2 linked regions of the Oryzias latipes genome follow. The protein of the gene in region 2 purifies or fractionates together with the protein of the main gene of each other region. This does not show direct contact. Links are inferred from orthologs where the notes say so. Each region holds a gene or a part of one and is shown on either strand. Other genes may lie near its edges.

Region 1 (3,828 bases), on a different chromosome or scaffold from region 2:
AGAGTCCATGGTGCTCAACAGTCAGGATCTTTACCACAAGGTGGCGCAAGAAATCACCATTGGACAGCTCATTCCTCATCTCCAGGGGTAAGTAGATGGAGTAACCATTACTTGTCCTTACTTTAAAAAAATTGTTTTTTTAATGTATTTTATATTTCCTGGTTTTAATAATGTTGCTTTGTCTTCTCTTAACTATTCTGAGCTGTTTTATAAATCTTGTCTTTAATATGTTTCTTTTGGGGGGGTTGGGGTTGTGGATTGCAGGACTGACCAGGACATTCAGACTTATACGGTTGCTGTGATCAATGCACTGTTCCTCAAAGCCCCAGAGGAGAAGAGACAGGTGAGGTTAAAGTGTTCATGTTTAGCATATCTACCCTGTACTATCAGTTCATATGGCAATCAGCGGTGTCCTTCTCTGTTATGTTGAAATTTTATAGATAGATGGATAGATGGATAGATGGATGGATGGATGGATATTTGGTCTGTAAATGACTCAATCTATGCAAGTAATAAGATTTTTGTTTTTATGGGAAAGGTGATAATTGGGATGGTTGCCTGTCATTTACAACAAGCCTGTTGCTGACCACGTTATCGCTTACGTCAGAGCCACAACGCTCAACGATGTACTCATTTGTAACAATTGGTGGTAATAATCATTTTTTGTGCAACTCGACCATTCATAAAGTTAATATTCTGACTACTAAGTACAACAGAGCAAAGAAAGTATTTGGCAGTCCCCAAACTTAAAAGTCATCCTCTTAAAATTAGGTGAGATCTGTAAAGTTGATCATAGATACGTTTTATTTGTGAGAGACGGAATGGATTAAAAAAAGAAACATGGAAATCCCATAAATGATTCTTAATTCATTTATTAGTTCAAGGGTTCAGGAAATAAGTATTTGGTCATTAACAAAAGTATACGGTACTTTAATACTTAATATAAATGGCAATGCCAGACAAGACAACCTTGAAATGTTTTTTTACACTACCACTCTTTTGTTGCCCAGGCAGTGTTTGGGATCATTGTCACGCTGGAAGATCCAACCATGTTTTTTTCCTATGGTTCTCACTGATGGAAAGAGGATTTTGTCCAAAATCTCACCATACATGGCCCCATTCATCTCTTCCATAATCATCCTGTCCCCTTTGCAGAAACATAACCCAATCGCATGATGCTTCCACCCCCATGCTTCAAAGTGGTGTTCTTGGGATCCAACTCAGCATTCTTTCCCTCAAAAAAAAGTAAAAGTCAGATTTTTAACAGAGTTCCATTTTGGATCCTTGATATCCTACCAATTGTCCTAGGAATCATCCTGGTGGTCTCTGGCAAACTTTAAAAAGGCTTGGGAATGTGCTGTTCTCAAACTAGAGGACCTTTGAGCCCTGCAGGACTGTAACCATGACATTGTTGTACATTACTATTAGCAACCTTTTTGTCTGAGGTCAAAGCCCTCTCTAGGCCATTGACCAGTTCCCCCCATGTAGTGCTGGACTGTTTCTTCACATTTCCCAAGATTCCACAAAGTGAGATCTTACATGGAACCCCAAATTGAGGGAAATTGTCACTGAATGATGCTTTTTTTCCATATTCTATTCTCACCAAGCTTCTTGCTCACCTGCTTACTTATTTAAAGTATGATGGTGTCTGCGTTTGGCTTTTTTTACTCTGTTTTTTTTTTCTCTTCTCGTTTTCATCACTTACATCTTTATATCAGTCCCAGGTCAAGCACCTCTGCTGTACAACCATACAATCAAAGAACTTACCGGTAGGTTTGGTACAAAGTGACTATGGAAAATCCTTTGGCACTTGGGAGGACTACAAACAAATTTTCTCCATTACCATTTGTGTTCCTCCTCCTCATCTAAATATAGGTTCTTCGGGCCATCTGGCACTGGTAAATGTAAGAAAAAAATCTCAGAGAAGAGGTATCAAAGTTGGTGTACAAGTGGAAAGCCGTCATGTTCATTATGATGTGGGTCAATTTGGCAACTGCCAAATACTTTTTGCCCCACTGTTTTGCTGAAAATGCCATCCACTCTTTGTCCCAAGCACCAAAACAATCAGATCTTGAATCCGTTTTTTCCTGACATCATTTCAAACTTTTTTTGGACCACTACATTCACTCAACTTACCCTCTTTGTCTCTGACCTTGTCTCTTCACTGCACACGACATGGTAGTATGATGAGCACATTGTGGACATCCTAGACTGTCCTCTGACAGTAAGTGCACCCTTGACTAGCACACTCTGTAGTTTGCATTGTAGAAGTCGAGAGTTTGTTTATTTAATTCCTGTATTTAAATTTTTTTTTTTTAGACGATTTTCTAACATACCATGTTTTTTCGGACCATAATGCGCGTTTAAACTATTTCACACTTCTCAAAAATTGACAGATCGCCATATAATCCCATACATCTAATGTATTAATTTTAGTTTTATCTGATACACGCCACTCAAAAATCCTTCAGGTACGACTGTGGTTGGCTACGATACTGCACGCTTGGATGGAATGGCTAAGTCTTATGGCTACCATAATAAGGGGCCTTGCTTTATCATAATGAACTGAAAACATAAGTATATTGTTTGTATTTTATGTGTTCCAACCAATTAATGTCAAGTTATTGTGAAGTAGTTCAATAAAGTTGAAGTATATGTTGCAAATACCTAGATATTGCAGATAAAACAGGCACAAATGGATGACAACAGTTTCCTAGAATATTGAAGTTATTTACAGACATAGACTCCTCTGACCAATACCCTGCTGCCTTTTGCAGTCCTTAGGAATTCTGGGTAGTGTAGTAAACCACATTATACCACAGTTTTGTTTTACTTTATGTGTGGAAATAGGCCATTGATATTGCACCTTATGGTCCGAAAAGAACGGTCTTTTGTTTTTCTAGCCTTTACATGCACACTTGATAGTGTGCCGCAGGCCTTTTCGTTTGCCTTGCTTGTCTAAAGTTTAGCGTAGAGAATCCCCAAATCTCAATTTTTTACCTCAACATATTTATGATCTTACATCATTGTTTTTCTTGTTACCCCCCACCTTTTATTAAATTTCTTTATTTTTTGTCTCTTTCTTCTTCTTTTTCGTCTCTTTCTACAGGAGATGGCCCACATTCTGGCCCAAAAGCAGCTGCGCTCCATCATTCTTACTGTAAGTTCATTTTTATTAGCCGTTGTTTAAACTCGAAGAACAGCATGTTTTACCTTTAAAATGACACTCTTAAATATTCTTACTTACACACCTGTGTCTACTATTTTGCTTCATTTGCTTCCCTATCTGTATATTCCACAAAAATCCTTGACTTCCCTTTTCTTCTGACCTTTTTTCATGCTTACTAAACTAGTTTACCATTTTGTGCAGAATGTGATCCGTAATCCCACACCCATCAATGATGAGATGGCACACCAGCTATATGTGCTGCAGGTGCTCACTTTCAACTTGCTGGAAGACCGGATGATGACCAAGATGGATCCCCAGGACCAGGTCAGTAAAAACTAGTGCTTTGTTATACAAATAAAACTTGGTAGATGTGTTTTTTTTTTTTATTCTAAATATGCAAATTCCAAAAGCTATGTGAATTTATGGCCAGTATTTTTGATTCTTCTTCTTTCTGATTGTTCTTCAGGCTCAAAGAGACATAATCTTTGAGTTGCGGAGAATTGCCTTCGATGTGGAGTGTGAACCCAATAACAGCGGCAGCATCGAGAAACGCAAGTCCATGTACACCCGTGACTACAAAAAGCTGGGTTTTATTGTAAGTTTAACACTTTTTGTTGGTCTTTAAAAAGAAAGGGTTTTTAGTCGTAAGTCAAATCAGT
Region 2 (3,828 bases):
AATTTACTCCTTGACACTTGTCGAAAAATGTGTTCATAAACTTGATGCGTGTGGGAGGAGCAACTGTCAAAGTTTTCAGCCTCATCGATACATGGAAGCATTGACTGTATCACTGAGTATCTCATATAGAGTCACTGCATAGAAGACGTGGATGAAGTTGAGAGGATCAGGTTTATTTATTTTGCAAAGCTCTACAAAGGCATCAGTAATCATGTCTCCATGTCTGGGTTCATGAGATCATTCAATGACTCTCCCAGTATGATGAGGTTCACCATCTACTGCAAGACCTGCGTCCTAATGATGGACGCTTCCAGCGGTACTTCCGTCCCTCTGTGACCCACTTCTACAATGTGATGTCCGGTACCAGTCCAAGGAGGAAAAAAAATTAAAATAAGAATAAAATAAGAGAAACTTTTTATTATTGTCTTGATGCAAAAAAAAAAAAGACCAAAAGTTTGGACACACCTTCTCATTCAGAGAGTTTTCTTTATTTATATATATCCAGGACCGCCACGCCTGATGCTCAAAACCCTCTGCAAGACCTCTGATCGCATCTGTACGTTGACTTGACACTGAAACTGGAACTGGACACCCCCGCCGAATTGCACTTTCGAATGTTTGGTAATCATATTAGCACTGATGCTAGTTTTCTTAAGAAAACCAATTATTTATCAGATGTAAGTTTTACATCATATACTACTTTACGGGCAGTTACCCTCAGTTTATCTAAAAGCATGAACGAAATGGTTAATCAAAATGTACAAACTTCCACACATAAATGGAATCTCTTTCTTTTTGTTTGCTGTAATCAGTAAGAAAACAGATGCTAAATCACAAGTAGATTCAAAGTAATAAAACGGACTCCCGCAGATGAAACTGTGATTAGTCAGCCAGCAAAATGGGATTCAGTCACAGCCTGTTTTTTATTTTTTATTTTCTGAAATCCCAATTTGAAGGCTGATGAATACACCTATTTATGCAAACCCAGATGAGTTTTGGGGTGATATAATTTGCCAGAAAGGTGCAAAGGATCGACACAAAAATATACCGGCTTAGCAAAGTCCCAACCGGGTCTCCAAATTGCGTGAGAAATTGTGCGGTGTATTTTCAACAAAGGATGATGAGCTTCTTGATAACCTATTTATCTACATGTTTCTAACTGAAATGATCAGGAGAAAATAAGCCTCTCATCACCATGAAGCAATAAAACAGAGATGATGTAGATTATTTAGATTTAAAGCTCTGCTTTGACTATAATAATTCCTATTTTGTTTTTTTATTTTATAACTAGACAAGTTTGGAAAATGTATATTATTATTGACCCTGCTTAACATTTCTTTTACTTCAAACACATTAAAATGACTTTTATTGATGCTTAAGGTTAAATGCTGCGTGCTTTGCAGTGGTTTTGTGGAAAATCTGAGCAGATACGGCTTGTTAGTGTGTCGTGTCTGCTTACCTTGAGTAGTTTTGCATGTAGCAGCAAGGTGTAAGCAGCCTCTGTGTAGTTGTCACACTCTCTGTGTAAGTCGCACAGCTTGTACAGGTATCTGACAGGAAGCAATGCTTTTAGATTCATATGGAAGAATGCTTTTCACACTTAACCAACACCTTTCTTTCTGCTTCAATAAAACGACAAAGGCCTCCTTATTGTTTCACTTCAACAAAACTTGACAGACAGCAGGGGAAGGAAAAAAAAAACTCACACTGTTGTAATTTGAAAGAGGAGGCATATTTTTAAAAAAATGGAGCTCCAGGGAATTACAAGAATAAAAGAGGATTAATGTTCTCCATGTAATATACCTTGGTGTTTTATTAAATGCCTCAAGGGGATGGATTTTAGTTGGAGGGAAATTCTGGAATGGGTCTTACCTGATGTACATTTCTTCTCTGTCTATCTCCTTGTAAAAGTTCTACAGCAAAGAAGAAGAAAAAAACATTTAAACCTCTCCAGAACACCATCCTGTAACACTCAGATCCCACTTTAAATGCATGAACTGCAGGTGTTTTTGTTATAAAATTCACCTAAAAGGTGAACACATGACTTTCTGGCAACATTTGATAGAACACAGCTTTGGGTAAATGTTAAGATACAGGCACTGATAGAGCACGGCTCAAACAAATGCTAACTACAAAGCCACAGGTCCGCGGCCTTCTAGAAACCTTTAATCATGTGGGATAAACCTGGCATTTTGGCACCACCAGATAAAATGTCTCGTCCCAAAAAGGCATTGACTAAGATTAACCGCTCTGTGATAACATCTTAACACATTCTGTCACGTGCAGGTAGTTTTTTCTTTTCTTTTTTTTTTTTTTGTCTGGGAGCAGATCGGATTATGAGAACTTATATTTGTGCGTTACAGGTGTGGTGGAATTGGCAGCAGCTGACTTACGAGCACATTGACCGTACAGCTCATGCGGTTTTCCTTGTTCTCGTCATGCATGATGGTCCTGTAGTCCAGCAGCCGCTCCAGCAGACGCACTACCAGATTGACAAAGAGCTCGCCCATTCTTGCCAAGTACTTGTGCTTCCGACAGTGCTCCAGCAAACTGGTGTTTGTTGCAAAACATAGAAGAGGTAGAAAGAATGTATTGAGAGACCTAACACAAAAAACAAAAACCTGACAAAGACTTAAGGTTGTGTCATACATTTTGCACATTTTCCATGTATGAAATTTTGGTCTTTCCTGATACACGAGATATACGTAATTCATAAGTCTGTCTTGAGTTCATCAATGAGTGCAGATAGATGTCCGTCCGTTCATTACATGAAATCGGTTTTGACCTGTTCAAAATCCTTGATCGGTTGGAAATAACGCAGTTTACGCATATTTAACATACAGTACAGACCAGTAGTTTGAATGAAAAGGTTTGTCCAAACTTTTGGTCTGTACTGCAGTTTATATGAAATTATTACATAATCCCTACACAATTGTGTGTGATTTTTGCGAGAAGCATACGCACATTTGTGGCTTTCCACGATCGTTGTATAACTGATGTATAAATTTTATATTACATATACGGCACACAAATCACGTTAAAATTATGTAATTGACGCACAAATCACTAAAGAATTGCAAATAAACAGTGCAACAATCACACACAGTTCATGTTCTACATGGATTTATGTGTTCTTTGATCGGTTTATTTATCTTCTATGGTTTTGAATTTGTTCATTCTTGACGAATCCTAGAAAATTTCACGTAAAGACCACAACTTTTCACGCTTTTTCCCTGTATATTCATGTATGACCTATTTTCATCCGTGCAAAACGTACTTAGTGGCTGTGTGACACGGCCTTTTGGAAAATGTTAGGTTTTTGTTTTTGTTGTAACTTATTTACTGTGATGGGGGAAAAAAAGATCCCGTAAGATGTCACCTGTGGTTATTTTGAGGACTAATACGTTGCAATTAGCATGATCTAATCAGGGCTTACATTTTCTGGAAGAGGAGTTTGTACTGTTCGTCTCCGTGGCCTCCTTCCACCTCGTGATCGAGTTTGGTGATGATCTCGTTCTCAAACTGCAATTAGACAGAGCAGGCGTAAATAATCAGCGCAGCTAATTTTTCAATTCATTAGCCCCGTCCCTCTTCTCACCCTTCATTTAGACTTAGGCTAAGCTAAGGTTTCAACTTTAATCGATCGTCTCTTGCAGAACATCTGGCTGGGAGCCTCAACATTTATTTTTTCAAATTTAATTATTACGAATGTTCTTATTTGCCTGTTTACATTTTTTGGAGAAGCTCTAAACAAAGCAATATGACAAGACCCAGCATTACTCCAGCTGCATTGATGTTGTCAGCACTGACAGTGATTTATAATCCCTT

What was found.
Region 1: the proteins of dock1 (region 2) and engulfment and cell motility protein 1 purify together in Homo sapiens (affinity purification with western blotting; 12 studies listed by BioGRID and IntAct, counting the BioPlex papers as one, with this or other methods). This does not show direct contact. The link is inferred for Oryzias latipes from reciprocal best matches to the Homo sapiens genes DOCK1 and ELMO1.

The regions. Positions count from the first base shown.
Region 1 is NC_019869.2:8,654,432-8,658,259, reverse strand, and holds part of engulfment and cell motility protein 1, read left to right. Parts: coding exon 1-87; intron 88-264; coding exon 265-343; intron 344-2,182; coding exon 2,183-2,224; intron 2,225-3,109; coding exon 3,110-3,160; intron 3,161-3,370; coding exon 3,371-3,493; intron 3,494-3,635; coding exon 3,636-3,764; intron 3,765-3,828. UniProt on the Homo sapiens protein: Involved in cytoskeletal rearrangements required for phagocytosis of apoptotic cells and cell motility. Acts in association with DOCK1 and CRK. Was initially proposed to be required in complex with DOCK1 to activate Rac Rho small GTPases.
Region 2 is NC_019877.2:12,101,395-12,105,222, reverse strand, and holds part of dock1 (dedicator of cytokinesis protein 1), read right to left. Parts: intron 3,523-3,828; coding exon 3,437-3,522; intron 2,551-3,436; coding exon 2,394-2,550; intron 1,914-2,393; coding exon 1,873-1,913; intron 1,551-1,872; coding exon 1,460-1,550; intron 1-1,459. UniProt on the Homo sapiens protein: Involved in cytoskeletal rearrangements required for phagocytosis of apoptotic cells and cell motility. Along with DOCK1, mediates CRK/CRKL regulation of epithelial and endothelial cell spreading and migration on type IV collagen.